Anolis sagrei: one gene and its partners. The protein of the gene in region 1 purifies or fractionates together with the protein of each later gene. This does not show direct contact. Links are inferred from orthologs where the notes say so. Each region holds a gene or a part of one and is shown in the gene's direction. Other genes may lie near its edges.

Region 1 (8,111 bases):
CATTTTTCAAAATAGAGAAAGCAAAAAAAAAAAAATCTTGATGAAATTAAACGTCCCATTGGACATCTGCAGTGTTCATCTCATCATTAGAAGAGCAGGACAGGACAGTGTACTGTTAAAGATTGTACTGGTATGTTTTGTTTCTAACCTTTGTGAAACATGTGCATCTGACTTTGTTATTTTCCCCTTAAGTCCTATCTGCTGTTCCAGAAGAAGTATGAGCTGTGAATAAACAGGTTGTTTTCATATCAGTCTTATGTCTGTCTCTGTGTGTGTGCCTTCAAGATGCCATCATTTTGCTTCTCACATGAAGAAAAGGAAGCTACAAAGACACCATTTGTGAATTTATACACAGGATTGCAGTTGAAAACATGTGTAATATGGCTGGCTTTGTGAAGCTCTTGCTCTGTTTTTTTGGGTTTTTTTTCACTGCCCTCGTTTTTCCTTCTATCTGGAATATTAACTAATTTGCTGGAACAACTTACAATATCTAGGCATGGTAGACATTTACATTGGTTAATGATATGGAAGGGCCTCTTTGGTCTTCTATGTTTCCTTACTCTCTATTTTCCAAATCCCAATTTATAGTGATTTATTTAAAATGTTTTTATCCTACCTTTCAATGAAAGTTTCTACAAGGTAGTTACATATAACCTAGGTAAAAGAGAGAAATCAATTCCGAAATTGCTGTCTGATGCTGTAACATCACATCTTGCTGTTAGAGGCCAGAAGAACCATATCAGATGCAGCAAGTTACTATCCAATACATTTTTAGTCAGAAATCTCACTTGATTTTAATAGGACTAATTCACAAGTAAATGCATAGATTTGCAGCCTAATCTGTACATATATTTATGAACTGTTCCACATTTGGAAGGCAACTTAAGAAGAAAGTGCATGAAGAAATTGAAAAGCAACATGAAGAAAAAAATGTTAAATCAAAATCACTGTTAAAGGCTTATGATGACTGATTTAAAATCTAATTAAGATTTCTGTGTTCCTACCATTAGACCAGAATGCCTATATGTTAAAACTTGCATAATATTTTTAAACATTTTATTTCAAAAGGTTTTTACTGTACAATTTTAAAATAGACTACTGACATTTCTTGCTTTTGAAATGGATCTTCCACAGAAATCTTAATAAGGAAGAATCATATTATGCATTCAGTCTTTGGGATAAGATGCTGAGAAAGCATGGATGAAGTCAACCATGAAGGCCCATATTGAGAGAGAGAAAAATCCATTGAGTTCAATGGAGGCTTAATTTTCAAGTAAGCGTGTGTAGCATTAATACCTCTGGTTAGTAGGTCAAGTCTGTAAAATAAACATAACTCCTTTTTATTTTCCAGTGCTAACATAGTACAGTAAGTGTGTTACTGTGCCTACCGATAACTGATGTTAGGAAACTTTGGCTTAAAGGGCAGTTTTTAAAAGCAAGTACAGGCAGTCCCAGAGTTACAAATGACTCATAGTTAAGAACAGGAGTGAGACAACAGGAAGTGAGAAATCTATCCCTCAGAAGGCAAATTCACTCCTAAAAAACTTATGGAAAAAGGTGTCTTCACTGAAGCTTTCCCACCAATCCTTGCTTCCACAAGAAGCCAAATTTTTCAAAATGAGTCTTGACACATTTTGATGCACACTTTGAGTCAACTTGTTTGACTGGATTTTGCATCCATAACACTGAAATTAATTTCATCGAACTCAGCAGAACAAAAACTGCAGGATTTCAATTTACAAGCCAATTTACAAGCCATACATACCTTTCATTTCAATTTTGTTAGACCCCAAAAATAGCATTTTCTTAAATGTCATGCGCACTCTGACTGGCGACCCTTCAGGTAAGGGAGTCTGGATCAGCAACTATTGCAGTTAGAGACCTCAAATTTTGGGAAAGTTTTAACCCCTCACTGGTGCTATGGCTAAAATTTGAATAAAATTTGAGACATGATGGTGGGAAGGTTTAGACCACTTGGCATGGAATGACCCTTTGGTGACACACACCAACACTATTTGGCAGGGAATGTTATAAAGATCTTGTTTAACCATAGCTCCGATGACATTATAGCATTGAACCATGGCATAGCATTGAAGGCATTAATTCTACCTTGAAGACATGACCTGAGATGCCCTTTTTGTACAGAGGCACTATATATCTTCTGGCTTTGTTACTGTTTTGTTGGCTAATGGCATTGCTAACAATGACCAATCTCAATAAAATAGTGAAGAGTGGAGACAGCACACTGGCAATGAAGACCCGCATACTAAAAGCAATGGTATTCCCCAGTCACCTATGGGTGTGAGAACTGGACCTTAGGGAAGGCTGAGCGATGGAAGATAGATACTTTTGAACTGTGGTGTTGGAGGAAAGTTCTGAGAGTGCCTTGGACTGCGAGAAGATCCAACCAGTCTATCCTCCAGGAAATAAAGCCCGACTGCTCATTGGAGGGAAGGATAGTAGTGGCAAAGATGAAGTACTTTGGCCACATCATGAGAAGGAAAGCTTAGAGAAGACAATGATGCTATGGAAAACGGAAGGAAAAAGGAAGAGGAGCCGACCAAGGGCAAGATGGATGGATGGTATCCTTGAAGTGACTGACTTGACCTTGAAGGAGTTGGGGGTGGTGACGGCCGACAGGGAGCTCTGGCGTGGGCTGGTCCATGAGGTCACGAAGAGTCGGAAGCGACTGAATGAATGAACAACAACAATGGCATTGCTGACTTCTTCCAAACTAGTTGGCAGTGCGAGCTCATCCCTGGTTTGTTGTTACAGGATTTGTGAGAGAACCTCTTCGTCCACATTGGAGCTGTGATTCAGGAGGCTTTGGTAGTGTTCTTTCCAACGTAGTGCAATTGATTTTTTGTCCTTCAGAAGTTTGGTTCCCTCTGATGAGCATAGAGCAATGTTTCTCAACCCTCCTAATGCCATGACCCCTTAATACAGTTCCTCATGTTGTGGTGACCCCCAACCATAAAATTATTTTCATTGCTACTTCATAACTGTAATTTTGCTACTGTTATGGATCAAAATGGAAATATCTGATATACAGGATGTATTTTCCCATGATCAACAGAAAATACTGGAAGGGTTTGGTGGGCATTGACCTTGAGTTTGGGAGTTGTAGTTCACTTACATCCAGAGAGCACTGTGGACTCAAACAACGATGGATCTGGACCAAACTTGACACGAATACTCAATATGCCCAAATGTGAACACTGATGGAATTTGGGGAAAATAGACCTTGACATTTGGGAGTTGTAGTTGCTCGGATTTATAGTTCACCTACAATCAAAGAACAGTCTGTGTCCCACCAATGATAGAATTGGGGCAAACTTCCCATACAGAACCCCCATGACCAACAGACAATATTGAGTTTTCTGATAGTCTTTGGCGACCGCTCTGAAACCCCCTCACAACCCCCCCCCCCCCAGGGGTCTCGACCCCCAGGTTGAGAAACACTGGCGTAGAGTATGGCATAGACACCAAGAACTGGCCCTTGAGCAAGAAGATCCAACCAGTCCATCCTCCAGGAAATAAAGCCCGACTGCTCATTGGAGGGAAGGATAGTAGTGGCAAAGATGAAGTACTTTGGCAACATCATGAGAAGGAAAGCTTAGAAAGACAATGATGCTGGGGAAAATGGAAGGAAAAAGGAAGAGGAGCCGACCAAGGGCAAGATGGATATATTCTAACTGGAGGTCAGCTGTAACCAACAGTGCTGCAGAATTCGAAGAGGCACGAACGGAGGGAGAAACGTGCCAAGAAAAAGGCGCGTCGAGCCAACCCTGACCAGGACTGCTTTCCACCTGGAAAAGATTATGTCCTTAGTGTGGGAGAAGATGATCAAGAATAGGGCTCCACCACCAAGACATGACATCTGGACGACCATCATCCTTGAGCTACGAGGGATCGCCTAACATTATATATCCCAGGCATGGGCCAACTTGAGCCCTCCAGGTGTTTTGGACTTCAACTCCCATCATTCCTAACAGCCTCAGGCCCCTTCCTTTCCCCCCTCAGCCGCTTAAGCGGCTGAGGGGGGAAAGGAAGGGGCCTGAGGCTGTTAGGAATGATGGGAGTTGAAGTCCAAAACACCTGGAGGGCCCAAGTTGGCCCATGCCTGATGAATCCCAATCCAAGGCCTTCCCAAGGCCTAGGGATCTGTGTATGTCTTTGACGCCTCAATGCCAGTTCCAAGGCATGGAGACTCTTCCTTTGGACAGAATTGGTTTGAGGGGATGTCCTGGCCTCACTAAGCGCTGCAGATGCGCCTTTCCTGAGGAAATAAAATTAATATTAAGACAAAGCTCTGGATATTGGGGGGGGGGGGGGGGAAGAGAGAAGGAGGCGCTCCACACAAAAGCCCAGTAATGGATTCTGGAGCGACGATGGTTTAGCAAGGATTAGTCATCCTAATTAAGGAAGATGGGAGGGAAGAAGGGAAAGCAGGCTGGAGACGAATCCCAGGAAGAGCCACAGCTCACGCATTTAGGTTGCCTTCAAGTAAAGCTATTTGGTGTTGAAGGGTGTGTTTACATACATATTAAGAGGGGGAGGGCACACTGATTCTGACTAAATCATTATGACATGTATTCCTCTCGACACAAATGGATTTTGTGTAGCCCTCAAGGTTTATTCCTATGGATATATTCTATGACACAGTGTTTTCAAGTGTTTCCCCAGCATTTCATACAAGAGTAATTGGTGCGTATCCCTTTAAATAACCTTCCTCAGAGCTCCGCCCCTTTCCCCCCCCCCTCCCTCCCTCCCTCCCGTCCTTTCACTGGAGCGCAGTAAAAAGACGACGACGACAACGACGACGCCGCACGGCCCTGCAGAAAGGCCTCCGCCCTGAGCAGCGCCTTTAAGAGGAAAGGGCGGCACGTGACCAAGCCCCGCCCCCTTTGGGTCCCCCACCCTACCCTCGCGCGCGCTCCCTCCCTCCCTCGCTCGCGCACACCTGTTTGTAAGGAGGGGCGGGGGTGAGGCATCCATATATATAAATAAATAAATAAACAAACTTCTCAGGAAGTATCGCGAGATTTTGTTCTTTTTTTCTTTTCCTTTTTTTTTACCGAGCGTGCGCATGCGCAGTTCTGGAAAGTCTGCCGGGAGTTGTATCCAAAATGGCTGCCGCGATGGATGTTGACACACCAAGCGGGACCAACAGCAACGCCGGCAAAAAGCGTTTCGAAGTGAAGAAGGTGAGAGGAAAAAGGCGAGGCCTTGGGGTTGAGAAGGTGGCGGACGTAGCGGGGCCTGGGGAAGGGTTATTTTTCCCCCGGAAACCATCTTTCATGTTGAATGTGAGGTGAAAGCGAAAAGTGATGGGGAGGCTTAGTGGGCCGCGTTCCTTTGGTCCAGACCTCGCCTAGAACCCGAACAGGAAGCTTCTTTGGAAGCTTTTAAACAGAGGCTGGATGGCCATCTGTCAGGGGTGATTTAAATGCAATATTCCTGCTTCTTTAGGTGGTTGGACTGGATGACCCACGAGGTCTCTTCCAACTCTTTGATTCTATGAAAGTGCTTTCCATTGGCGCCCTCGTTTCCCAAGGTTTGTTTACAGTTGAGATACATGTTTGAGCGGGAGCCTTTGTGCTCCTCTGGTTTTCAAAGGTGGGATGCACCGCAATGTGGCGGGAAATCACAGATTTCTCTAGTATAGTATTTCCCAGACTATGGGAAAATATCCATATTTGACAGAAAATGTGGATATTTCATCACAAGTCAGAAATATTCTTCTTTATCAGCAGAATAATAAAACTTGAGAATCAGAAATGCAACAACTTTTTTGGGATAAGATAATTTTAAAAATAGGGAAGCTTTTCAAAATAACAATTCAAGTTAATATGGAATTTATGTTCATGGCAATTACCGGGAATAAAAACATTGGGTTGTTGTAGGTTTTTTCAGGCTTATATGGCCATGTTCTAGAGCAGTGGTTCTCAACCTGGGGTCCCCAGATGTTTTTGGCCTACAACTCCCAGAAATCCCAGCCAGTTTAGCAGCTGTTAGGATTTCTGGGAGTTGAAGGCCAAAAACATCTGGGGACTCCAGGTTGAGAACCACTGTTCTAGAGGCATTCTCTCCTGACGTTTCACCTTTATCTATGGCAAGCATCCTCTGATGCTTTAATTTAAAAACATTTTGCCAGTTGCAAATCATAATCCAGTTCCATTCATTGTGGTCACGTAAAACGTTATCTTCCCAGTTGCTCCAGCCATTGTTCAAATGCTTGATCCCACAGCAGGTTTTGAGTTTTCTATGGAAGGTAAGGAGGGAGAGGGCAAACCTAACTTCATTGGGGAGGAAGTTCCACAGCTGAGAAGACACCACAGAGAAGGCCAGTCTCTCATCTTCACCTGTCATGCCTGCGAAGGTGGTGGGACTGAGAACAGAGCCTCCCTGGATGATCTTAACGTCCTTGGTGGTTTGTAAGGGGAGATAGGTTCAGACAGGTAAGAAGACAACACACATTAAAAAAAATTAGTTAAACTGGCTTGTTTACAGTACAACTTCTACATCAATAAGAATGCTATTTGGAAATTTATCCACATTTGACAAATAATGTTCTCTTTGGGAATTCTCTAGGTCCTCTAGCATGGTTTTCTTGGGCCAAAAAAGTCCTTAATTTCAACAGGGTTTGTTATTATCCATGGTTTCACAAACTCATGTGAAGCCTCATTTTGTGTTTTGCTAGGCTCAACAGCGATGCAAAAAAAAGTAACAAAGAAAAATTGCATTAATTGTAATTTCATTCTTTAGTGGAATGCAGTTGCACTCTGGGCTTGGGACATCGTGGTTGATAACTGTGCCATTTGCAGAAACCACATTATGGATCTGTGTAAGTACCTCCAGAATATTTGTGCTGTATATATAGTTATTGTGGATATCAGAGGATGACAATAAAAAGGAGCAAGATGATGAAAACATAACTTCATAGCAGTCTCAACAATTCACGATTAATTGTAGAAGCCCCTGGTGGCGCAATGAGTTAAACCCTTGTGCCGACAGGACTGCTGATGGTTTGAACCCGGGGAGTGGGGTGAGCTCCTGTCTGTCAGCTCCAGTTTCCCATGCAGGGACATGAGAGAAGCCTCCCACAGGAAGGTAAAACATCCGGGCATCTCCTGGGCAACATCCAGTTCTCTCACACCAGAAGTGACTTGCAGTTTCTCTGACAACGAAAAGAAATGGTGAATTGTGTAGTTAAACTACACATATAAGATTAGAGGAGTAATTTAGTTACAGAGGAATAATTAGTGCATTAAGTTATGGCTATATTTGCAATATAAACTTAAATTAGTTTTCTGGCCTCCTATGAAGAACCTGAGGATTAGGAGGTCATACTTGCCATTCTTTCATGTAATATTGTGACTGCAATTGTAGTTGCTCAGTACAACTATATTGTTTGGGATAGTATCTACATGTCTACATTGCAGTTCTTGCAATATACAAAATTGCTTCTTCATCTGGGATCATTAATGTAAAAATTGTCATGCAGAATCAGATTAAAAGATCCATCCTGTGTGATAATGTGTTATTAAGACAGATTTCTAGATAACTTCGAAGGTACAGAGCATAATGAAACAGTTCTAGGCAATGGCCTGGTTTGACTGATTTGAGATTTCATAACTACCTTTGTTTATAGAGCAGGATTTAGTGCTAAGTACTCCTCCATCACCTCTTCCCACTGTACATCCATAGTTGGAATCTGTTACCTATCAGTTAATCAACTAGAAAAATAAACTAGGATTACATGTGAATGGTACATCCAGATTCCTCTCATCCAATGGGAAGTGGGTCTAATGATACTTTAATTCTGTTTTTCATCATGTGTCTGCCTCTTTTGTTATCTCGAAACATCTATATTTAACAGAAAATGTGGATATTTCATCACCAGTTATCGTTTCAGTAATAATCAATGTTTCTATTTAATCTTGTTCTTCCAGGCATAGAATGTCAAGCTAACCAAGCATCAGCTACCTCTGAAGAATGCACTGTTGCGTGGGGTGTCTGTAATGTAAGATGTCTACTTTTCAGTTCGTACAAACATCAAAATTTGTGGGAAAGAACCATAAATGGTTTTGTTATGAAGATCAAAGCTT
Region 2 (7,067 bases), about 7.0 Mb from region 1:
GTGCAAAAGCTGGGTTGCAGTTAAACATTAGAAAAAAACCGAAGTTTATGGCAACCAGACTGATTGATAACTGGCAAATAGAGGGAGAAAACGTGGAAGCAGTGACAGACTTTGTGTTTCTAGGCGCGAAGATGACTGCAGAAGATGACTGTAGCCAGGAAATCAGAAGACATTTACTTCTTGGGAGGACAGCAATGATCAATCTTGATAAAATAGTGAAGAGTAGAAACATCACACTGGCAATAAAGATCCGCATAGTTAAAGCAATGGTATTCCCCATAGCAATCTATGGATGTGAGAGCGGGACCATAAGGAAGGCTGAGTGAAGTGATGCTTTTGAACTGTGGAGCTGGAAGAAATTGATCTTTCAATTTGGTGCTTTCAAATTGATCTAGCCACTGCCAGTTGCAGCATGAAGTTCTGCAGATCCTGGATCTCACCACTGCATGGAATTGATCTGAATTTCAACCGAGGCGTTGCACCAGCTGCAGCTCCAACAGAAGAAGTCTCTCTCTCTCTTCCCTTTCAGTCTCCTCTGGCCACCTTGTAACAGAAGACCCTAATAAAATGTATCCGTTTCCTGACTTCCAGCTCCCTGCAAGATGCATTGTGTCCTTCTCTGACTCAAACCTTTCTCTCTTCCGAGCCGCGAACCTTCACAGGCTCGGCTGGGACGCTCCAGCAGCATCCTGGAAGGCAAGGAACTGCGATCTTTTAAAATGTGGATATTGAGTTGCATCTGGATTTCCGTATCCAAGGCTTAACCGATCCCTTCTGAACCAACGCCATCTTCCCCAGATTGCCTTATGAATGAGCTATCGCCCAGATTGCTTTATCAATGGACCCAGGAAGGGTCAGTCATAATCTGATCATTTAAGCAACTATATCTTTGTTTCTACTACTGCTGTACCTTCTCTATCACAATTGGTTGAGAGGCCGAAGCGGGGCTCGGGCTGTCATTGGCTGAGACACACCTGCTCCCAGCTGCTCTTCCCGGCCTGCTGACGTCAGGGATTCCCCTGACCAATCATGGCAAAGCCGGCTCAGGGCGCGGGAAATTCAAACTGGAAAAAAATGTATAAAATGTGTATTTTTCTGTATTTGGGTATGCTGGCTTCTTCAGCAGATGACTGTGGTTGTCATCCTTTTCCAGCTGGAACAGAAAATAAACTTCAGTGGCATGTGTTTCATCCTAGTGAGATTTATTTGGGAAAAACTCGTATTGGCTTCTACAGCTTGCCAGGCGCTGTGGACCTCTCATAAAAATATCATTGCAGATTTGAGAAATGTGAATTTAATAATGATGTGCGGGAATAAATGGAAGAATGGATATTGTATTGTAGGGGCAAAGAAATCAAAATATTTCCCAAAAAGGCAGAAGCCCCTTTCTAACAGGGAGGGCAAGGATGGACACCACCAAAGTTGAATCTTTTAAACTGCAAAAAACTATTTATTGCGTGGCCATAGCAATAACAACAAACAAGCATACGGGGATGCAATCAAAGGGTTTGTCGCAACCCCCAATGGGGCTGCAGAACATTTATAGTAAATGGAATATACATTTTCATTGGTTCCCAAAGACAAATCATTTCATTGGTATAAGCTAGCTATGCAGTTGTTCATTAGTTGTTTATGATTTTGATTGACATTATAGCACACGTGGGATCCTAACAATGGCACAACTATAGTCCATTGTTTTCTGACCATGACTGTATCTTATCTGTTAGTCTGTTGCAAACATGGCTCCAGAGCGACTGGGAAACTTGGGGGTTCTAACTAGCCATGAGCTAGCTGGTTTCGTCCGGATATACTGTTGGAGGGGACGTGGTTTTAAAAAGGGAATTTTCAGATATTTCCCCAATGCCCATATGTCATGATTTACTGCCATATAGGCCTATTTCTGCAGTAGGCCTATGTTCACAGAAAATGCTGATTGTTTGAGAAATCAGTGCTCCAAAGACGAAGTTACTATTCAAGGATAACAGTATATCCGGACAAAACCAGCTAGCTGTTGGCTAGTTAGAACCCCCAAGTTTTTCAGTCGCTCTGAAGCCATGTTTGCAACAGACCTACAGATAAGATGCAGTCATGGTCAGAGAACAACGGACTATAGTTATGTTAAAGTTGTGCCATTGTTAGGATCCCATGTGTGCTATAATGTCAATCAAAATCATAAACAACAAATGAACAACTGTATAGCTAACTTTGTTGTTGTTCATTCGTTCAGTCGTCTCCGACTCTTCGTGTCCTCATGGACCAGCCCACGCCAGAGCTCCCTGTTGGCCATCACCACCCCCAGCTCCTTCAAGGTCAGTCCAGTCACTTCAAGGATGCCATCCATCCATCTTGCCCTTGGTCGGCCCCTCTTCCTTTTACCTCCCAATTTCCCCAGCATAATTGTCTTCTCTAGGCTTTGCTGTCTTCTCATGATGTGGCCAAAGTACTTCAACTTTGTCTCTAGTATCCTTCCCTCCAGTGAGCAGTCGGGCTTTATTTCCTGGAGGATGGACTGGTTGGATCTTCTCGCAGTCCAAGGCACTCTCAGAACTTTCCTCCAACACCACAGCTCAAAAGCATCTATCTTCCTTTGCTCAGCCTTCCCTAACTTAACTTAGACCAATGAAATGATTTGTCTTTGGGAACCAATGAAAATGTATATTCCATTTACTATAAATGCTCTACAGCCCCATTGGGGGTTGTGACAAACCCTTTGATTGCATCCCTGTATGCCTGTTTGTCATTATTGCTATGGCCACGAAATAAATAGGTTTTTTGCAGTTTAAAAGCTTCAACTTTCGTGGTGTCCATCCTTGCCCTCCCTATTGGAAAGGGGGCTTTTGCCTTTTTGGGAAATATTCTGGTTTTGTTGCCCCAACACTGATATCCTTGAATAGTAACTTCTTCTTTGGAGTGCTGATTTCTCAAACAATCAGCATTTTCTGTAAACATAGGCCTACTGCAGAAATAGGCCAATATGGCAGTAACTCATGATATATGGGCATTGGGAACATCTCTGAAAATTCCCTTTTTTAAACTACGTCCCCTCTATTATGAGTGGAGTTTTGGAAAAACTAGTAAAAGACCCAGGCCTGCTTGCTGGACTGTAAATAAAAGTTACAAGTCATATGTACATACAACATACTACATTTGCCTAATGCTCGGTGCTTCCGGACCCAGCTATCATACTATCACCTCAGAAAATGTGGATTTTTTTTCAGCTGTATGGAAGGGGCCTTAGTCCTCACAAACATTTTGGACTTCAATTTCCAGAAGCCTCAGCTGCCTTGGCCAATGGTTAGGGAAATCCCACATTATCTGAGTGTGGACTCCGATGTTGTTCATTCGTTCAGTTGTCTCCGACTCTTCGTGACCTCATGGACCAGCCCACGCCAGAGCTCCCTGTCGGCCGTCACCACCCCCAGCTCCTTCAAGGTCAGTCCAGTCACTTCAAGGATGCCATCCATCCATCTTGCCCCTGGTCGGCCCCTCTTCCTTTTGCCTTCCACTTTCCCCAGCATAATTGTCTTCTCTAGGCTTTCCTGTCTCCTCATGATGTGGCCAAAGTACTTCAACTTTGTCTCTAGTATCCTTCCCTCCAATGAGCAGCCGGGCTTTATTTCCTGGGGACTCCGATAACCCAGTTCAAAGCAGACATTCTGGGATAAAGGACTGTGTGGAAGGGCGCCTAAACTTTTGGGAGGCCAGAGTTTGGGAAATCAATGACTCGTCAATCTCTCGTCTCTCGTCCACTTCCAATCCAAACGGTGACACAATCACGTGACTCTGGGCTTTCGGCAACGGTAAGATCGTATTCTGCGCGCGCCGGAGATTCGAGGCATTGCGCATGCCCGCTGAGAGTGAGCCAGCAAGAGCGTTGCCCCAAGGGCCCTGCCTCGTTTATTTCCGGATTGTTTCGGCTCTCGCTCGGGAGAGGGAGGGGAAGCGAAAGGGGGCGGGGCTTGGTGTCGCCTGGGACGGCGGGAGTGGACGGATGCCGCAAGAGGAGGCGGGGCTTCCCCAGCCCAACAACAACAACAACAATAGCAGAGGCACCCGGAAGCCCCGCGCGCGAGTTGGGGCTGCTTCCGCTAACCGCCACCGCCTTCTTCGCTGAGCGAGGCGAGGAAGCCAGTGGCAGGAAGCGAGGGAGTCGCCGCCATGAAGCTCCGCGTCCGGGCGCGGAAGAGAACGGCCCCGCTGGAGTTGCCTGAGGCGGAGCCGACTCTTGGGGACCTGCGGGCGCACCTCGGTCAGGCTCTGCTGCCCGCTTGGGGATACAGGTGACTCCTGGCACTGGGCCTTGGCCGGGATGGGCGTGGGAGGGTCATGCTTCACACCACTTGGGATTCTGAGAGCTTTGGTTTTACAAGGTCTTTGAGTCTTTGTAGCCCAAGAGTGCTGGTCCCTCACCAAACTACAAGTCCCAGGATCCCAAAGCATTGAGCCATAGCAGACAAAGTGAGATCAAAGTGCTTTCATTCTACAATCTGAATCAGGCATGAGCCAACTTCGGCCCTCCAGGTGTTTTGGACTTCAATTCCCACAATTCCTAACAGTCTATTGGAGTTGAAGTCCAAGCATATGGAGGGCCGAAGTTATTATTATTATTATTATTATTATTAACTTTATTTGCACCCCGCTAGCATCTCCCAAAGGACTCGATGCGGCTTACAAAGGCCAAGGCCTCAAATACAACATAACAATACAAACCTAAAGCAAATTAAAAACAATTAAAGCAATATTAAACAACAAAACAACAATCAATAAACAATACACCAAAACACAATAAAACTGGGCCGGGCCAGAGTGAAGGGTACAGGATTAAAAGTGATGATGTGACAGGTGATATGTAAGAAGTTTGCCCATGCCAGGTATAGATGCAGCCAGAGAACGACTCGAGCAGTTTCTCACTGTATTTGCTGTGCCTTCAAGTCGTTTGAAGTGCATTAATGAAGTTTGACATCACTTTGATTGTCATGGCGCAGTGCTATGGGAGCCCCCAGTAGCACAGTGGGTTAAACCCCTGTGGCGGCAGGACTGAAGACCAACCCGTCGCAGGTTCAAATCTGGGGAGAGCATGGATGAACTCCCTCTATCAGTACCTGCTCCTCATGTGGGGACATGAAAGAAGCCTCCCACAAGGATGATAAAACATCAAAAAAACATCCAGGTGTCCCCTGGGCAATGTCCTTGCAGAGGGCCAATTCTCTCACACCAGAAGCGACTTGCAGTTTCACACGTCGCTCCTGACACAACAAAAAAAAAGTGCTATGGAATCTTGGCTGTAATTTTAAAGGGTCTTTAAACTATTAGTTACTTAAGTTTTCTGGGTTTAGAGCTGACATGGGCAAGTTTGGCCCTCCAGGTGTTTTAGACTGCAACTCTCACAATTCCCAATAGCCAGTGGGCTGTTAGGAATTGTGGGAGTTGTAGTCCAAAACACCTGGAGGGCCAAAGTTTGCCCATGCCTGGTTTAGAGTGTGTGACAGGGTCGCCAGGGGGTTTTCCACGCATGAATTGGAACTCTGGCCACCAGAGTCAAAGGTGCAGGTACTGCACTGTAGACTTAAAACTTGGCTCTTACGATGTGCCTGGTAAGTGAACATATATTCCATATTTTGTCTCTCCCAACTATAGTTCTGTCCTCATGATGCACTTTCCTCCCGCCCTTAATGAAGGTCTAGCCCCATTGTTCATTTCTTTTGAGCTCCTCCCTCAGAAACACATTATCCCACTACCTATATCAGGGGTCCTCAAACTAAGGTCCAAGGGCCAGATACGGCCCTCCAAGGTAATTTACCCGGCCCTTGCTCAGGGTCAACCCAAATCTGAACTGACCTGAAAGCGCACAACAACAATCCTATCTCATCAGCCAAAAGCAGGCCTACACTTCCCACTGAAATACTAATTAGTTTATATTTGGTAAAATTGTTCTTCATTTTAATTATTGTATTGTTTTATGTGGTTTTTGCACTACAAGTAAGATATGTGCAGAGTGTGCATAGGAATTCATTCACATTTTTTTCAAATTTTTCAGATTGGCTTTCTGTTTTCTTAGAACCAGTGATATTTTAAAGGTAATGCTTTACACAGTGTTGAGGTGAGCTGAGTGAGCATGGAGGTGTCTGATATTTTGATGGCACATGCACTCTCAATTTTGTTGGATATTGAAGAATGTGGGTACATGGGGAATGATTATTTCCTCCAAAGATATGCTTATAGGTGTTGTGCCCAGGAGTGGTAGTAAAATTAGATGTTTTAAAGAGGTTTGTCATGCACTCCAGCACATAAAAGCTCTTGATAACATAAGTATTTGATGAAAGTATTTGATTTAATATTTGTGCACCATGGATTTTAGTTTTGATATCTCTGTTTGAGACACTGTGATATTCCCACTGAAGGATATGGCAGGCTTTATATTCCTCCTGAGTTGTAAAGCTCATTGAGTGATTTGTGAATGGCATAATAGCTCACATGATTATTGTGAGAATTATCTGAGTGGATCAGCTTACGTTCCTTGGGAAAACATGGGATATAAATGATATGTTTTTGTCACACATTCCTATGATTTGGGAACAAAGAGACTAGACAGATAACATGTTTAATCTGGTGACTCAGCAGATTATGTAACACCTCGTGGGTTTTAAATAGATTGAGTTTAGTTTCTAGTTCAGTGCAGTTCAGTTTCAGAATGAGGAGGTGCATTCTCCTGGACTACTAGTTTTCCAAAAAAGTATTAAAGTTGAAAAGGTAGTAAAAACCCTGATTTAGTCTATGAGAAAAATTAAAGAAATGAATCCAAGTTATCTTCAATTCCAGTTATTCCAAATATTCATGGAGTTAGCTGGAATAATTGTGGTCTAGTCCCAAAACATTTGCACCAAGTGAGATAATGTCATGTGACTGCAATGCTCACTAAAGAAGCTTAATACTGTGTTTTGGCTTGCTAGAAATGGGTCCCTCCTCAACTGCTTAATGTTCAGAAAATAAAGAAAGAGTCACCAATCGTAATCTATTGGTAAAAAAGAGCTTTGTAGAACCTGGTCCTCATGAAATTGAAAAAGCAT
Region 3 (7,807 bases), on another chromosome or scaffold:
GGGACTGTATGGTTGTCCTAAACAGAACCGCAGCATCCGCAAAGGCCAATGTGCTTGCCTCACCTGTCGAGGAGGGGCTTGTCGGGCCCGCGCTGCTGCTGCTCCTCGTCGTCCTCCTCCTCCTCCTCGGGGCTGGCACTGCCCAGGATGCGCTTGCGAGCCTCGGCGTACTCGGCCTCCCTCTGGGCCAGGGACTTGACGGGGAAGGCGGGCCGGCTGGCGGTGCGAGGGCTGCCCAAGACCCCGTTGCTGGTGGGACGCTTCAGGATGCGGATCTGGGGAGGGGGCCCCGCCAAGGGAAGGCCCTCGTCCTGCAGCACCACTGGGGGGGCCTTCGGCGGGGAGCGCGGCTTCCGGCTGCGGAAAGAAATAGACTGAGCCAGTCAGGACGACAACGACGTGCTAGGACAGGAAGGAAGCAGCAAATAAATAATAATAATAATAATCTTTATTTATACCCCGCCACCATCTCCCCGATGGGGACTCGGAGCGGCTTATATGAGGCCAAGCCCAAACCGCAAATTACAATAAAATAAAACTGAAAATGCAAACAATAACAACAACATAATTACACAAAGCATGTGAAAACATAGCAATATAGAATTACAATAGGCACAACCAAAGGACAAAGGGTTTAGAGCAGGCATGGGCCAACTTCAGCCTTCCCTCCAGGTGTTTTGGACTGCAACTCCCACCATTCTTAACAAGCCAGTCGTAATAAAAGTGAATGTTTGTTGCGCCAGCTCCACTGGCTGCCAGTTTGCTACTGGGCCCAATTCAAAGTGCTGGCTTTGGCCTATAAAGCCCTAAACGGTTCTGGCCCAACTTACCTGTCCAAACGTATCTCCCCTTATGAACCACTTAGGACTTTAAGATCATCTGGAGAGGCCCTGCTCTCGGTCCCACCTTTGTCACAAGCATGTTTGGCGGGGGTGAGAGACAGGACCTTCTTAGTGGTGGACCCTCAGCTATGGAATGCCCTCCCTAGGGAAATCAGATCTGCTCCCTCCCTCTTGACGTTTCGGAGGCAAGTTAAAACATGGCTATTCGAGCAAGCGTTTACAAATACAGAGTAGCTAATATAGGAAATCGAATGACCTGACAATGGAATTGGACAATGCTTGAGAATAATGAGACGCTGATGATGTTGCTTTTATGACGTTTTATACTGTTTAATGTTTTTTATCTATTACGTTTTATGTATACTGATTTGTTAGAAACCGCCTTGAGTCGCCAATTGGTGGTATACAAATACGGTAAATAAATAATAAATAAATATGTATGTATGTTTGTGGGCAGTGGGCAATGCGGCGACGTTTAGCAAAATATTTAATAGCAATAATGGATACACTTCCACTTTGAGTCTCCTTCGGGAGAGATAAAGTGGGGAATAAATAAATTCAATAATAATAATAATATTATAATAATAGATAACATAATATATAATGGTAATATATTGTAATACCAATAATGGATACATAGCCACTCTGAGTCTCCTTTGGAAAAAATAAAGTGGGGTATAAACGTTTTAAATAAATAAATAAATAAAATTATAATATTATAATAGACAACATAATAATATAATATATAATTATAATATATTATAATAGCAATAATGGATACATAGACACTCTGAGTCTCCTTTCGGAAGAGATAAAGTGGGGTATAAATAAATACAATAATAATAATAATAATAATAAGAAGAAGAAGAAGAAGAAGAAGAAGAAGAATTTAATAGATGACATAATAACACAGTATATAATTATAATATATTGTAATAGCAATAATGGATACATAGCCACTCTGAGTCTCCTTCAGGAGAGATAAAGTGGGATATAAATAAATACAATAATATGATAAATAAATATAACCATAAATATAATAGATAATAATAATGTATTGCAATACTAATAATGGATACATGGCTTTGATTCTCCTTGGGGAGAGATAAAGTGGGGTATAAATAAATACAATAATAATAGATAACATAATAACACAACATATAATTGTAATATATTGTAATACCAATAATGGATACATAGGCACTCTGAGTCTCCTTCGGAAGAGATAAAGTGGGGTATAAATAAATACAATAATAATAGCATTATAATAATATACAACATAATAATATAATATATAATTATAATATATTGTAATAGCAATAATGGATAGACACTCTGAGTCTCCTTCAGGAGAGATAAAGTGGGATATAAATAAATATTATAATATTATAAATAAGTATAACAATAGATAATATAATAGATAATAATAATGCATTGCAATACTAATAATGGATACATGGCTTTGATTCTCCTTTGGGAGAGGTATAAATAAATACAATAATAATAGCATTATAATAGATAATATAATAACATAATATATAACTCTAATATATTGTAATAGCAATAATGGATACATAGACACTCCTTGGGGAGAGATAAAGTGAGGTATAAATAAATATAACAATAATACCATTATAATAGATAATATAATAATATAATATATAATTCTAATATATTGTAATAGCAGTAATGGATACATAGACACTTTGAGTCTTCTTCGGGAGAGATAAAGTGGGGTATAAATAAATAAAATAATATTATAATAATAGATAATAATATAATATATAATTCTAATAGCAGTAATGGATACATAGCCACTCTGAGTCTCCTTTGGGAGAGATAAAGTGGGATATAAATATAGTATAATAATAATAGATAATATAATCTATAATAATCATAATACCAATAATGGATAGCAAGCTAGTAAATACATCAAATGTAGAGCAGGCCTTGGCCAACTTGGGCCCTCCCTCCGGGCGTTTTGGACTCCAACTCCCACAATTCCTAACAGCCTACCGGCTGTTAGGAATTGTGGGAGTCCAAAACGCCCAGAGGGAGGGGGTCCAAACAAAGGGAACTCCTCACCTCTCCTTCTGGCTGATCTTCAGCTTCTTCTCCAGCCGCCTGTCTATTTCCTGCAAGGCAAAAAAGGGGCGTTTGAGGAGACCCCCCTCAACGAAGGAAGCCAGGCCTCCTCCCCCTTGAAGGCAGGCAGGCAAGCGCACGTGGGAGGGCGCGGCCCCTTTAAGAGGCCTAGCAGGCGCCCCGAAGCCTGCGCCTCCTCCTCCTCACCCCGCTGTCGGCCGCCTCCTCCCAGCTCTCCGCGACCTCCTCATCTTCCATCGTCAGGCCCCTCCGCCGCCGCCAGCCCGCTCGAGGCGCATGCGCGCTAAGCCGCCCCTTCCTTCCTTCCTTCCCTCGCTCCCCTTCCCTTCTTTTTGCCCCTCGCCCTCGCCGCCGCTGAGGCTCCTCGCTCGCCGCCCCCCGAACAAGAGCGCATGCGCGGCTTCCCGGGCTCCTACCCTTTTCGTCGGGCGGAGCATGCGCGGTTGGAGCCGTGCCCTTCCTCGCTCCGCCCCATGTAGGGAAAGGTGCCCGTGTGCGCGTGCGCAGTGGCGCCCCTGAGAGCTCGGGCAATCCCTTCAGCCGTGTGGCGCATGCGCAGTATCCACATGTGCCTGCATGTGGAAAGGTGGGGGTTCGCGCGTGCGCAGTGTCGCCCCTCGCTCAGCGCAGGGATTCCTTCTCAATGTCTCAATGTAGAAAGGTGCGAGGTCGCGCGTGCGCAGTGTCGCCCCTCGCTCAGAGCAGGGATTCCTTCAGCTGTGTGACGCATGCGCAATATCTCTATATGTCTCAATGTAGAAAGGTGCGAGTTCCCGCGTGCGCAGTGTCGCCCCTCGCTCAAAGCAAGGATTCCTCCAGCTGTGTGACGCATGCGCACTATCCCTATCTGTCTCAATATAGAAAGGTGCGAGTTCGCGCGTGCGCAGGGTCGCTCCTCGCTCTGAGAGGGATTCCTTTAGCTGTGTGACGCATGCGCAATATCCCTATATGTCTCAATATGGAAAGGTGCGAGTTCGCGCGTGCGCAGTGTCGTTCCTCGCTCTGAGAGGGATTCCTTTAGCTGTGTGACGCATGCGCAGTATCCCTATATGTCTCACTGTAGAAAGGTGCGAGTTCGCGCGTGCGCAGTGTCGCAGGGATGCCTTCAGCTGTACGGCGCATGCGCAGTATCCCTATGAGCCTCTGCGAACGGTGCGAGTTCGCGCGTGCGCAGTGTTACCTCTCGCTGTGCGAGCAGGGATTCCTTCAGCTGTGTGACATATGCGCAGTATTTCTATATGTCTCAATGTAGAAAGGTGCGAATTCGCGCGTGCGCAGTGATTCCTTCAGCTGTATGGCGCATGCGCAGTATTCCTATGTGCCTCCGCGAAAGGCGCGAGTTCGCGCGTGCGCAGTGTCGCCCCTCGCTCTGAGAGCAGGGACTCCTTCCATATCCCAAAGTGTCTCCACTCTCCGTGTGTAGAGAAAGTGCCAATTCACGCATGCGCAGTGGCGCCATTCACCCCGAGAGCGGGCATGCATTCAGCGGCGTGGCGCATGCGCAGTATCTTTAGGTGCCTCCGCTGCTTCCATATAGGGAGGGGCCGGTTTTGGTTTTGCGCGTGCGCAGTGGCGCGAATTCCTTCACCAGTGTGGCGCATGCGCAGTATCCCGAAGTAGGAAAAATCGGATACACGAAAGAACCTGAATTCCTTCACCAGTGTGGCGCATGCGCAGTATCCCAAAACACCGAAACTGAGTATTGGTCGATAGGGGGAGGAGCCAAGATGGCGTCACAATCCTTCCCAAGATGGCGCCGCCCTGACGAGGGGGCAACCAAGATGGCGCCCGCGCAGGCCCCACGTGACGGCGGGAGGCGCCTGCGCGTTGGCCTCGTCCCCGCCCCTGAGCCGAGCGATGGCGGCGGAGACGGTGGCCGGGAGGGCTCAGGCGGGGGAACCCCGAGAAGGCGGCTGGCGCTGCTGTGGGCGCCCGGCCCGGAGGAACCGAAGGCGGCTCTGAGGAGGGAGAGGGAGCGCGGAAGCGGCAGGTGAGGCCAGCAGCCCCCCTTCCGGCCCCTGGCCCCGCCCTCTCGTGATGTGGCAGAAACGGAGCGCCCCGCTGAGAGGCGCCCAGGCCTCTGGACTACAACTCCCAGCAGCCCCCGCCGGTTGGGACCACGGCCGGGCATTCTGGGAGTTGGAGTCCCTGAGGCCTGTCCCGCCTCTCCAGACAGTAGGCCTGGGCCTTCCTGTGTTTTGGACTCCAACTCCCAGCATTCCCAACAGTCTATAGAATAGATCCAGGCCTGGTGTTTTGGGCTCCCAACCAACATCCTATAGATCAGGAATGGGCCAACTTCGGCCTTCCCTCCAGGTGTTTTGGACTCCAACTCCCAGCATTCCTAACAGTCTATAGAATAGATCCAGGCCTGGTGATTTGGGCTCCCAACCAACATCCTATAGATCAGGCATGGGCCAACTTCGGCCTTCCCTCCAGGTGTTTTGGACTTCAACTCCCACAATTCCTAACAGCCTACCGGCTGTTAGGAATTGTGGGAGTTGAAGTCCAAAACACCTGGAGGGAAGGCCGAAGTTGGCCCATGCTTGCTAAAAATTCAGACCTGCTGTCGGGAGAATCCAGGTGTTTTAGACTCCCGATTCCTAACAGCCCATAGCGTCAACGATGTCTTGTTTAATAGACACCCATGAAATCATTCCGTTTTCCGTGAACTTCCATCACAACGTTTCCACGTAATCTCTCTGTACAACGCAATCTGTTTTGGATTCTGATTTGTAAACAATCTCCCTTGCTACAATCTCCCTCGCTCCTTATCGCTCAGCTCTTCACTCGACTCTTTATTAGTTGTTGCTATTTCTGACTCCTCGGAATAAACGCCCTCGAGGCCCCTGCTCTTCCAGAGTCAGTTTAATCGACACCCATGAAATCATTCCGTTTCCCGTTAATTTCCTTCTCATTTTCACTCGACTCCTTTTTAGCTCTTGCTATCTCTGACTCCTCGGAATGAACGCCCTCGAGGCCCCTGCTCTTCCAGAGTCAGTTTAATTGACACCCATGAAAATATTCCATTTCCCGTGAATTTCCTTCTCATCTTTACTCGACTCTTTATTAGCTGTTGCTATTTCTGACTCCTTGGAATGAATGCCCTCAAGGCCCCTGCACTTCCAGAGTCAGTTTAATCGACACCCATGAAATCATTCCGTTTCCCGTTAATTTCCTTTTCATCTTCACTCGACTCCTTTTTAGCTCTTGCTATTTCTGACTCCTCGGAGTGAACGCCCTCGAGGCCCCTGCTCTTCCAGAGTCAGCTTAATCGACACCCATGAAATTATTCCGTTTCCCGTGAATTTCCTTCTCAACTTTTCCACGCACTCTCTCTGAATGGCACAGTCTATTTTCAGCTGTGATTTGTAAACGATCTCTGTAAGTACAGATAGTTTCCCATGGGAACCTTCCTTATCGCTCAGCTTTTCACTCGATCCCTTATCTGCTGTTGCTACTTCTGACTCCCCTGAATGAATGCCCTTATCCTCATTTCCTAGACTTGAATTTCCCAGACTTGAGAGCCCATCGCTTTGTGCCACGGGAAAGCCCCAAATCCTCTCTAAATCATCAGTGAAACCACCAGCTTCTGGTGGCTGATCTATAACAGTTGGAAAGGTATCTGTCAGGAGGGCTTTGTTCCTTTCTTGCTTGGCTCTGATTTGTAAACAGACTTTTGTTGATCTCCATAGTTACAGGTGGGTTTCCCTGGGAACCCTCCTTATCGCTCAGTTCTTCACTCAATTCCTTATCTGATGTTGCCACTTCTGACTCCTCTGAATGAATGCCCTTGAAGCCCTGCACTTTCTGAGCTAGTTTATCCATAAAGAGAACCATCATTTCCTATACTTGAATTTCCCAGACTTGAGAGCCCATCGCTTTGTGCCACGGGAAAGCCCAAAATTCTCTCTAAGTCATCAGTGAAACCACCAGCCTCTGGTGGCCTATCTATAATAGTTGGGCAGCTATCTGTCAGGAGGGCTTTGTTCTTTTCCTGCTTGGCTCTGATTTGTAAACAAAGACTTTTGTTGATCTCCATAGTTACAGGTGGGTTCCCCTAGGAACCCTCTTTATCGCTCAGTTCTTCACTCAATTCCTTATCTGCTGTTGCTACTTCTGACTCCTCTGAATGAATGACCCTGAGGCCCTGCACTTTCCGAGCCAGTTTTCTCACAGAATTATAATTGTTTGTACTGGCATTGAATTTTGCCATTACTTATGTGTAAACTGCTTTGAGTCCCCCTCGGAGTGAGAAAAGCGGTATACAAATACCGTAAAAACAAATAAATAAATAAATAAATAAAATCATTTCTCAGACTTGAGAGCCCATCACTTTGTGCCACAGGAAAGCTCACAATCCTCTCTAAATCATCAGTTATACCACCAGCCTCTGGTGGCTGATCTACAATGGTTGGGTAACCATCTGTGTCAGGAGGACTTTGTGCTTCTCCTGCTTGGCTCTGATTTGTAAACAGACTTTTGTTGAACTCTTCAGCTGCAGGTGGGCTCCTCTGGGAACCCTCCTTGTCACTCAGCTTTTCACTCGATCCCTTATCAGCTGTTGCTACTTCTGACTCCCCTGAATGCATGCCCTTGAGGCCCTGCACTTTCCGAGCCAGGTTTCTCACAGAGAGAACCATCATTTCCCGGGTTTGAGAGCCCATCGCTTTGTGCCACAGGAAAGCTCACAATCCTCTCTAAATCATCAGTTATACCACCAGCCTCTGGTAGCTGATCTACAACAGTTGGATAACCATCTGTGTCAGGAGGACTTTGTGCTTCTCCTGCTTGGCTCTGATTTGTAAACAGACTTTTGTTGAACTCTGCAACTGCAGGTGGGCTCCTCTGGGAACCCT
Region 4 (7,827 bases), on another chromosome or scaffold:
AGCAACAGGCTTTAAATAAAAAACATGGACAGAGGAGTAAAAACAATAAGTATAATAATAAAAAACAATGGATTTGTTTGTTACATTGAAGAAATGTAAAACTGTAAAGGTAAAGGTTTCCCCTTGACATTAAGTCTAGTCGTGTCTGACTCTCCATTTCTAAGCTGAAGAGCTGGTGTTGCCCGTAGACGCCTCCTAGGTCATGTGGCCGGCATGACTGCATGGAGCGCTGTTTATCTTCCTGCCGAAGCAATACCTGTTGATCTACTCACATTTGCATTTCTTCAAACTGCTAGGTTGACAGAAACTGGGGCTAACAGAGGGAGCTCACCCAGCTCCCCAGATCTGAACCGCTCACCTTTCGATCAGCAAGTTAATCAGTTAAGCAGTTTAATCCACTGTGCCTCCTAGTACTCAAATGACAATTACTGTGCAACCCCCATATCCATGGGAGATATGTTCCCTGAATTTGTGTGGAAATGCAGAACTGTGGATAATAACGAACCTTTACTAAAATGAAGGACTCCTGGCCCAAGAATACTATAGAGCAGGCCTGGGCCAACTTGGGCCCTCTGGGTGTTTTGGACTTTAACTCCAAATATAGTGGGTGTTGAAGTCCAAAACTCCCACAAAAGCATCAGAGGATCCAAGTCTGTCCAGGCCTGCACAAGAGGGTATCAATTCCACTTGCAAATGAAGAACTGGATCTGCAGCACAGGCTCATCTTTAATACCTGGAATCCACCAATTGTATACGTTGTACTCTGACGTTTCTGAACAGGCACCGAATGCGACCCCTTTATTCACGCAAAGCACATCACTATGTCCATCCATGTCCAAAAAAGGGCAGCTGGAAAGGCAACAGAACAGCATAAATATTCCCACAACAACAGAAAAGGCAAGAAGAAAACCCCAAAATGTCTTAAACCTACACCTGTTGATTAACTCCACAAGCTAGCTGGCATTGCCCCCCCCCCCATGTGCAACGGGAAGTTGCTGCTAAATGTGAGAGAAATAAGGTTGGACACTATGAAAGCCATCCAACACATGGCTACCAGTCTCCTCCCTGTAGACTCAAATCAAGGAAAAGCTTTATAACTACCACTCCTCTTGGTGTCCCTCCAGCAACAGCAAGGGACTCCCTATAGGCAGCTAAACCGGGAAATCCCAACTGGATGGCCACCTTGCGAGGGTCTTCCTCCAGAGGCAAACCAAGAACGGGCAACTTGGAAGTCCCTGAATAGCGGAGTGGGCAGATCAAAAGGAAACCTGGCAAAATGGCACTACCTAGAAGAATTCCAAACCTTGTATAATTGTGGAGCAGAACAGAAAACTCCGCATCTGTATGCTTGTCCACTGTGCCCCTGCCTCGTGTACAGAGGAGGAATTGTTGGAGGCTACAGACACTTATTTACTTAGGCGATCCCTCGTTGGCTGAGTAGGATAGTCTTGCAGGATCAGTATTCTTGTGGATCTGTAGGTGACTGTGGAGCCCTATTATTGACCTGCATCTTCTTCCGCAGTGAGGGCATTGGTTTCCAGGTGGAAGGCAGTCTCGGTCGGGATTGGCTTGATGCGCCTTCCTCTTGGCACGTTTCTCTCTTTCACCCTTCATTTGTGCCTCTTCAAATTTTGCAGCACTGCTGGTCACAGCTGACCTCCAGCTGGAGTGCTCAAGGGTCAGGGCTTCCCAGTTCTCAGTGTCTATGCCAAAGTTTTTAAGGTTGGCTTTGAGCCCATCTTTAAATCTCTTTTCCTGTCCACCAACATTCCGTATTCCGTTCTTGAGTTCGGAGTAGAGCAACTGCTTTGGGAGACAGTGGTCAGGCATCCGGACAACGTGGCCGGCCCAGCGGAGTTGATGGCGGAGGACCATAGCTTCAGTGCTGGTGGTCTTTGCTTCTTCAAGCACACTGACATTTGTCCGCTTGTCTTCCCAAGAGATTTGCAGGATTTTCCAGAGGCAATGCTGATGGAATCGTTCCAGGAGTTGCATGCGACGTCTGTAGACAGTCCACGTTTCGCAGCCATATAGCTGGGTTGGGAGGACAATAGCTTTATAAACAAGCACCTTGGTCTCCCTACGGATGTCTCGGTCCTCAAAATTCTCTACAGACAATGCCGTTGCTGTTGCCCGTTTTTGGTCAAATTATATTTAGCCACCTGTGCATCTTCTATTTTTATCAGTTTTATACTAATTTATGCAATGTATTGTCGAAGGCTTTCATGGCTGGAATCACTAGGTTCATGTGGGTTTTTTCGGGCTATAGAGCCATGTTCTAGAGGCATTTCGAAACGTCAGGAGAAATGCCTCTAGAACATGGCTCTATAGCCCGAAAAAACCCACAAGAACCTAATTTATGCAATGCTTTTAATACGAAATAAATAAATAACCGCAAAACTACAGCAAGAAACACTGAGGGAGGCCCAAGTATGTCAAAAAGGCGCAGACTAGATATACACAATACCTGTTTCATGCCTACTCTTTTTGGCATCTTTTCTTCAGACTTTTCCAGCAAGGTAAGTGGCAAGTGGTCAGACTAGCTTCTTTCCTTCAGAAGACCTGGATTGGGTTGTTGTAGGCTTTACAGGCTGTATGGCCTTAGAATCATAGAATCAAAGAGTTGGAAGAGACCTCATGGGCCATCCAGTCCAACCCCCTGCCAAGGAGCAGGAATATTGCATTCAAATCACCCCTGACAGATGGCCATCCAGCCTCTGTTTAAAAGCTTCCAAAGCTTCAATGTTCTAGAAGCATTCTCTCCTGACGTTTCGCCTGCATCTGGATGGTTTTGTGCCTGGAAGTAGGTAATGTGTGTCTCCCTTTACTATTTCTGTCCCTGACAACAAATACCTATGTCCCCTTTCCCCTCCTTTCTCCTTATCTTATCTACCCCAAATATACAATGACCTCTACCCCAAATATACAGGCAGATCTTGGAACTTCTGAGGGGGGAAAATAAAGGCGTCCATGCCAGGTTTCTGAGTCTCAGATTCTCACCCTTACTTTCTGACTGGCTCATTGAATGATCTACTCCCTGAATTCCTTTCTTTCTGAGGTGAGGCCTAAAGGCCTCCTCAACAGACTCCATCTTCTTCTACGACGTCTTAATGCTCTCCCCTCAGTTCGTGTTCTATGCATCTCTCTCTCTCTTCCTGCGGCCTCCTCCTCCTCTCTCTCCCCTCCCACAACCCTCCTGCCTCACTTTCCTTTCTCTCTTCCCCTCCTTCCCTTCATTCTCTTTTTCTCCACCTCCTCACGACGCAACCGCCCTTTGGACGGCTTATAAATGCAAGCCTCGTCGCTATTGGTCGAGGGACTCGTCCCTTCCGTGACGGAGGCTCGGATTGGACGAGCCAAGCGTTGGTCGTGAGTGAAGAAGACACAGGGAAAGGGAGGGAGTGCCACAGCGAGGAGTATAATGCAAGCCTCAACGCTATTGGTTGAGGCGCCTCTCCCCTTTCGTGACAGAAACCAGGATTGGACGAGCCGGGCGTCCGTCTTGAGTGAAGGAGACACAGGGGAAAGGGGAGGGAGTGTTCTGTAATGCAAACCGAGACCTTATTGGTGGAGGTGACTCTCCCCTTTCGTGACAGAAACCAGGATTGGACGAGCCGAGCACCCGTCTTGAGTGAAGGAGACACAGGGGAAAGGGAGTGTCCTGTAATGCAAGCCTCGACTTTATTGGTTGAGACGCTTCGCCCCTTCCGTGACGGAAACCAGGATTGGATGAGCCGAGCACCCATCTTGAGTGAAGGAGACACAGGGAAAGGGAGGGAGTGTGTGCCACAGCGCGGAGTATAATGCAAACCTCGACGCTATTGGTTGAGGCGCCTCTCCCCTTTCGTGACCGAAACCAGGATTGGACGAGTCTTGAGTGAAGGCGACACAGGGGAAAGGGGAGGGAGTGTCCTGTATTGCAAGCCGAGACCCTATTGGTGGAGGCGACTCTCCCTTTCCGTGACGGGAACCAAGATTGGACGAGCCGGGCGTTTCGTCGTGAGAGAGAGGGAGGGGGGAACGAGGGAGAGAGAAAGAGTGAAGGAGACACAGAGAAAGGGAGGGAGTGTGTGCCAGAGCGCGGAGTATAATGTAAGCTTTGACGTTATTGGTTGAGGCGCCTCTCCCCTTTCGTGACAGAAACCAGGATTGGACGAGCCGAGCACCCATCTTGAGTGAAGGAGACACAGGGGAAAGGGGAGGGAGTGTCCTGTAGTGCAAGCGGAGACCCTATTGGTTGAGGCGACTCTCCTTTTTCGTGACGGAAACCAAGATTGGACGAGCCGGGCGTTTCGTCGTGAGAGGGCAGGAGTGAGAGCGAGAGGAAGGGGGGGGGAGGGAGAAAGAGTGTGAGAGAGAGGGAGGGGGGAACGAGGGAGAGAAAGAGTGCGCGAGGAGAGTGCGCGAGCGCGGCCTCAAGAATGCAAGCCGCGCCGCGATTGGCGGAGTCGCCTCGCCCGTTTCCGTGACGGAGGCTGGGATTGGCTCACGTCGTGAGGGGACGAAAACGTACACTCAAATCTCCTTCTGTGTGTGTGTGTGTATGTGTGTATGAGGAGGGGCGCTTCTTTCCCTCCCTCCTTCCCTCCCTCCCTGGCAGCGTCAATGGCTCCTCCTGCCACAGAGCGGTGGTGGTGGCGGCGGCGACGGGTTTAAGCCGAGAGGAGGAGGAAGGAGAAAGAAGAAGAAGGGTTGACTCCCTCGAGCGAAGGAGAAGAGGCGGCAGCGGCAAGGCGGGGGGGCCGGGGAGGGGGGGAGGGGAGAGGAGCAGCGCGCGCCGCCGCGTGTGCGCGAGGCGACGGCGCGAGCGTCCCCTTCATCAACCGCCACTGAGGAGAAGGAGGAGGAGGGAGGAAAGAGGAGGAAGCTGAGGAGAAGGAGGAGGCCTTCCTTTCTTTCCTGGGGCCTTCTCTCTCCTTCCTTCCCTCTCTCCCTCCCCGAACAGTCCCGGTTTCCGGAGGAGCGGCCCCCTCTCCTCCCCCCGCCCAGGCCGGCAAATGAACTCGGTGCGGGCCGCCAACAGGAGACCCCGGCGAGTGTCCAGGCCGCGCCCGGTGCAGCAGCCTCCGCCGCCTCCCCCGCCGCCGCCTCCCCCACCGCCGCCGCCTCAGGCCCAGCAACAACCGCCTCCGCAGCAACAACAGCAGCAACCCCAGCCCTTGCAACTGCCGCCCCCTCCTCCTCCACCGCCGCCCCCGGAGAGGAACAACAACAACAACGCTGCCGCAGCAGGGGAACGGGGTAAGAAGGAGAAAATGGAGGATCGAAACAGAGAGAGAGGGGAGGGGGGAGGAAAGGACTGAAAAGGGAGGGAGGGGAGGAAGGAAAACGGGTGGGGTCCCCTCATCTCTCTCCTCCCCCCCCTCTCCATTAAATTGTGGGCTGTATTTCACCTCCGTCCGCAGGCCGCGCTTTGTTTGGTTTGCTGGGTAGCTATGGGGGGTTTTGATGGGCTGGTTGTGCGTCCCTCTCTGGAGAGGCTTCGGGGGTTTTGTGGAGGCCATAGCGCCCCCCCCCCCCCCTTGGTTCCCTGTGGAGAGAGGTACGAGGCCCAGGTTGATTATTACTATTTTTTAAAAAATATCATGCATTTATCTAATATTGAGGCCCCTTCCACACAGCCATATAATTCAGGGCCCTTCCACACAGCCCACACAGGACATGTTCTAGAGACTTGAGTATAAGCAGAGGATGGGGAATGCAGCATCTACTGGTAAATTTCAAAATAAAAATAGATACCAATAAAATTACATTAATTGAGGCATCAGTAGGTTAAATGTTTACATAAAACTGTAATTTAAGATAAGACTGCCCAACTCTGATTAAACCATTACTCTAACCTTCTTCAATGTAAATGTGCTTACGTAGCCTTCCAGTAATAATAGAGTAAAATAATAAATGTAATAATCATAATAATATAAATATAATAATGATGGAAATGTAAAAATACCAGTAATATGCTCAATGCCTCTAGAACATGGCCATATAGCCCGAAAAATCCTACAACAACCCAGCCCTATATCCTTCCACACAGCCTTATGTCCCAGAATATCAAGGCAGAAAATCCCATATTATCTGAGTGTGGACTGCTGAACAAAATCCCACATTTTCCCACACTGATGAATAAAATCCCACATTTTCTGCTTTCTGCTATTATTTTTCTTCATCCCACATTTATCTCTAACATTGAGGCCCCTTCCATAGAGCACATTAAAATCCCACATTTTTCTGCTTTCTGCTATTATTTTTCTTCATCCCACATCTATCTCTAACATTGAGGCCCCTTCCACACAGCCATATAATCCAGGGCCCTTCCACACAGCCCATCTTTCCACACAGCCCTATATTCCAGAATATCAAGACAGAAAATCCCATATTATCTGTGGATTGCTGAACAAAATCTCACATTTTCCCACACTGCTGAATAATATCCCACATTTTCTGTTTTGAACTGGGATATGTGCCAGTGTGGACTCTGTTATCCCAGTTCAAAGCAGATATTCTGAGATTTTCTGCCTTGATATTCTGGGATATAGGCCTGTGTGGAAGCCCCCCCCCCCCCCAATATCAAGGCAGAAAATCCTGCAACTTCTGCATCTAATTGGATTATCTGAGTTCACACAGCCCTATATCCCAGAATATCAAGGCAGAAAATCCCATATTATCTGAGTGGACTGCTGAACAAAATCCCACATTTTCCCACACTGCTGAATAAAACCCCACATTTTCTGATTTCTGCTATTATTTTTCTTCATCCCACATTTATCTCTAACATTGAGGCCCCTTACAGAGCAGAATAAAACCCCACATTTTCTGCTTTCTGCTATTATTTTTCATCATCCCACATTTATCTCTAACATTGAGGCCTCTTCCACACATACAACAAAAATACCACTTATATATAGAGTAAACAATAATCGAATTCAACAAGCAGTTATATAGACATGTTGTACTGTTCAATTTCACAGTGATGTCAAACAATATTGTGTAAATTTTGGTACAGTGTTTTTAGAAGAATATCAAAACAAAAATGGAATTCAACAAGCAGTTCTATAGACATATTGTACTGCTCAATTTCACAGAGATGTCAAACACTATCAACACAGCCATATAATCCAGGGCCCTTCCACATAGCCCACACAGGCCATGTTCTAGAGAATGACTCTAGAACATGGCTATATTGCCCGAAAAATCCTACAACAACCTAGCCCTATATCCTTCCACACAGCCTTATATCCCAGAATATCAAGGCAGAAAATCTCATATTATCTGAGTGTGGACTGCTGAACAAAATCCTACATTTCCTCACACTGCTGAATAAAATCCCACATTTTCTGCTTTCTGCTATTATTTTCCTTCATCCCACATTTATCTCTAACATTGAGGCCCCTTCCATAGAGCAGAATTAAATCCCACATTTTCTGCTTTCCGCTATTATTTTTCTTCATCCCACATTTATCTCTAACATTGAGGCCCCTTCCACAGAGCAGAGTAAAATCCCACATATTCTGCTTTCTGCTATTATTTTTCTTCATCCCACATTTATCTCTAACATTGAGGCCCCTTCCACAGAGCAGAATAAAATCCCACATTTTCTGCTTTCTGCTATTATTTTTCTTCATCCCACATTTATCTCTAACATTGAGGCCCCTTCCACAGAGCAGAATAAAATCCCACATTTTCTGCTTTGAACTGGGATATGTGGCAGTGTGGACTCCGATAACCCAGATTTTCTTCCTTGATATTCTGGGATATAGGGCTGTGTGGAAGCCTCCCCAATAATATCAAGGCAGAACTGGGTTATTTGAGTTCACACTGCCACATGTC

The links.
Region 2: the proteins of RBX1 (region 1) and FBXO7 purify together in Homo sapiens (affinity purification with mass spectrometry; 5 studies listed by BioGRID and IntAct, with this or other methods). This does not show direct contact. The link is inferred for Anolis sagrei from reciprocal best matches to the Homo sapiens genes RBX1 and FBXO7.
Region 3: the proteins of RBX1 (region 1) and FBXO42 purify together in Homo sapiens (affinity purification with mass spectrometry; 4 studies listed by BioGRID and IntAct, with this or other methods). This does not show direct contact. The link is inferred for Anolis sagrei from reciprocal best matches to the Homo sapiens genes RBX1 and FBXO42.
Region 4: the proteins of RBX1 (region 1) and FBXO11 purify together in Homo sapiens (co-immunoprecipitation; 4 studies listed by BioGRID and IntAct, with this or other methods). This does not show direct contact. The link is inferred for Anolis sagrei from reciprocal best matches to the Homo sapiens genes RBX1 and FBXO11.

The regions. Positions count from the first base shown.
Region 1 is NC_090025.1:161,877,903-161,886,013, reverse strand, and holds the start of RBX1 (E3 ubiquitin-protein ligase RBX1), read left to right. Parts: upstream 1-5,092; 5' UTR 5,093-5,129; coding exon 5,130-5,207; intron 5,208-6,768; coding exon 6,769-6,847; intron 6,848-7,955; coding exon 7,956-8,026; intron 8,027-8,111. UniProt on the Homo sapiens protein: E3 ubiquitin ligase component of multiple cullin-RING-based E3 ubiquitin-protein ligase (CRLs) complexes which mediate the ubiquitination and subsequent proteasomal degradation of target proteins, including proteins involved in cell cycle progression, signal transduction, transcription and transcription-coupled nucleotide excision repair.
Region 2 is NC_090025.1:168,878,438-168,885,504, reverse strand, and holds the start of FBXO7 (F-box only protein 7), read left to right. Parts: upstream 1-3,963; 5' UTR 3,964-4,158; coding exon 4,159-4,280; intron 4,281-7,067. UniProt on the Homo sapiens protein: Substrate recognition component of a SCF (SKP1-CUL1-F-box protein) E3 ubiquitin-protein ligase complex which mediates the ubiquitination and subsequent proteasomal degradation of target proteins and plays a role in several biological processes such as cell cycle, cell proliferation, or maintenance of chromosome stability.
Region 3 is NC_090033.1:7,742,578-7,750,384, reverse strand, and holds the start of FBXO42 (F-box only protein 42), read left to right. Parts: upstream 1-4,764; 5' UTR 4,765-4,938; intron 4,939-7,807. Other genes in the region: SZRD1 (SUZ RNA-binding domain-containing), read right to left, coding at 64-357, 2,928-2,977, 3,135-3,185. UniProt on the Homo sapiens protein: Substrate-recognition component of some SCF (SKP1-CUL1-F-box protein)-type E3 ubiquitin ligase complex. Specifically recognizes p53/TP53, promoting its ubiquitination and degradation.
Region 4 is NC_090021.1:20,874,021-20,881,847, forward strand, and holds the start of FBXO11 (F-box only protein 11), read left to right. Parts: upstream 1-4,756; 5' UTR 4,757-4,997; coding exon 4,998-5,241; intron 5,242-7,827. UniProt on the Homo sapiens protein: Substrate recognition component of a SCF (SKP1-CUL1-F-box protein) E3 ubiquitin-protein ligase complex which mediates the ubiquitination and subsequent proteasomal degradation of target proteins, such as DTL/CDT2, BCL6, SNAI1 and PRDM1/BLIMP1.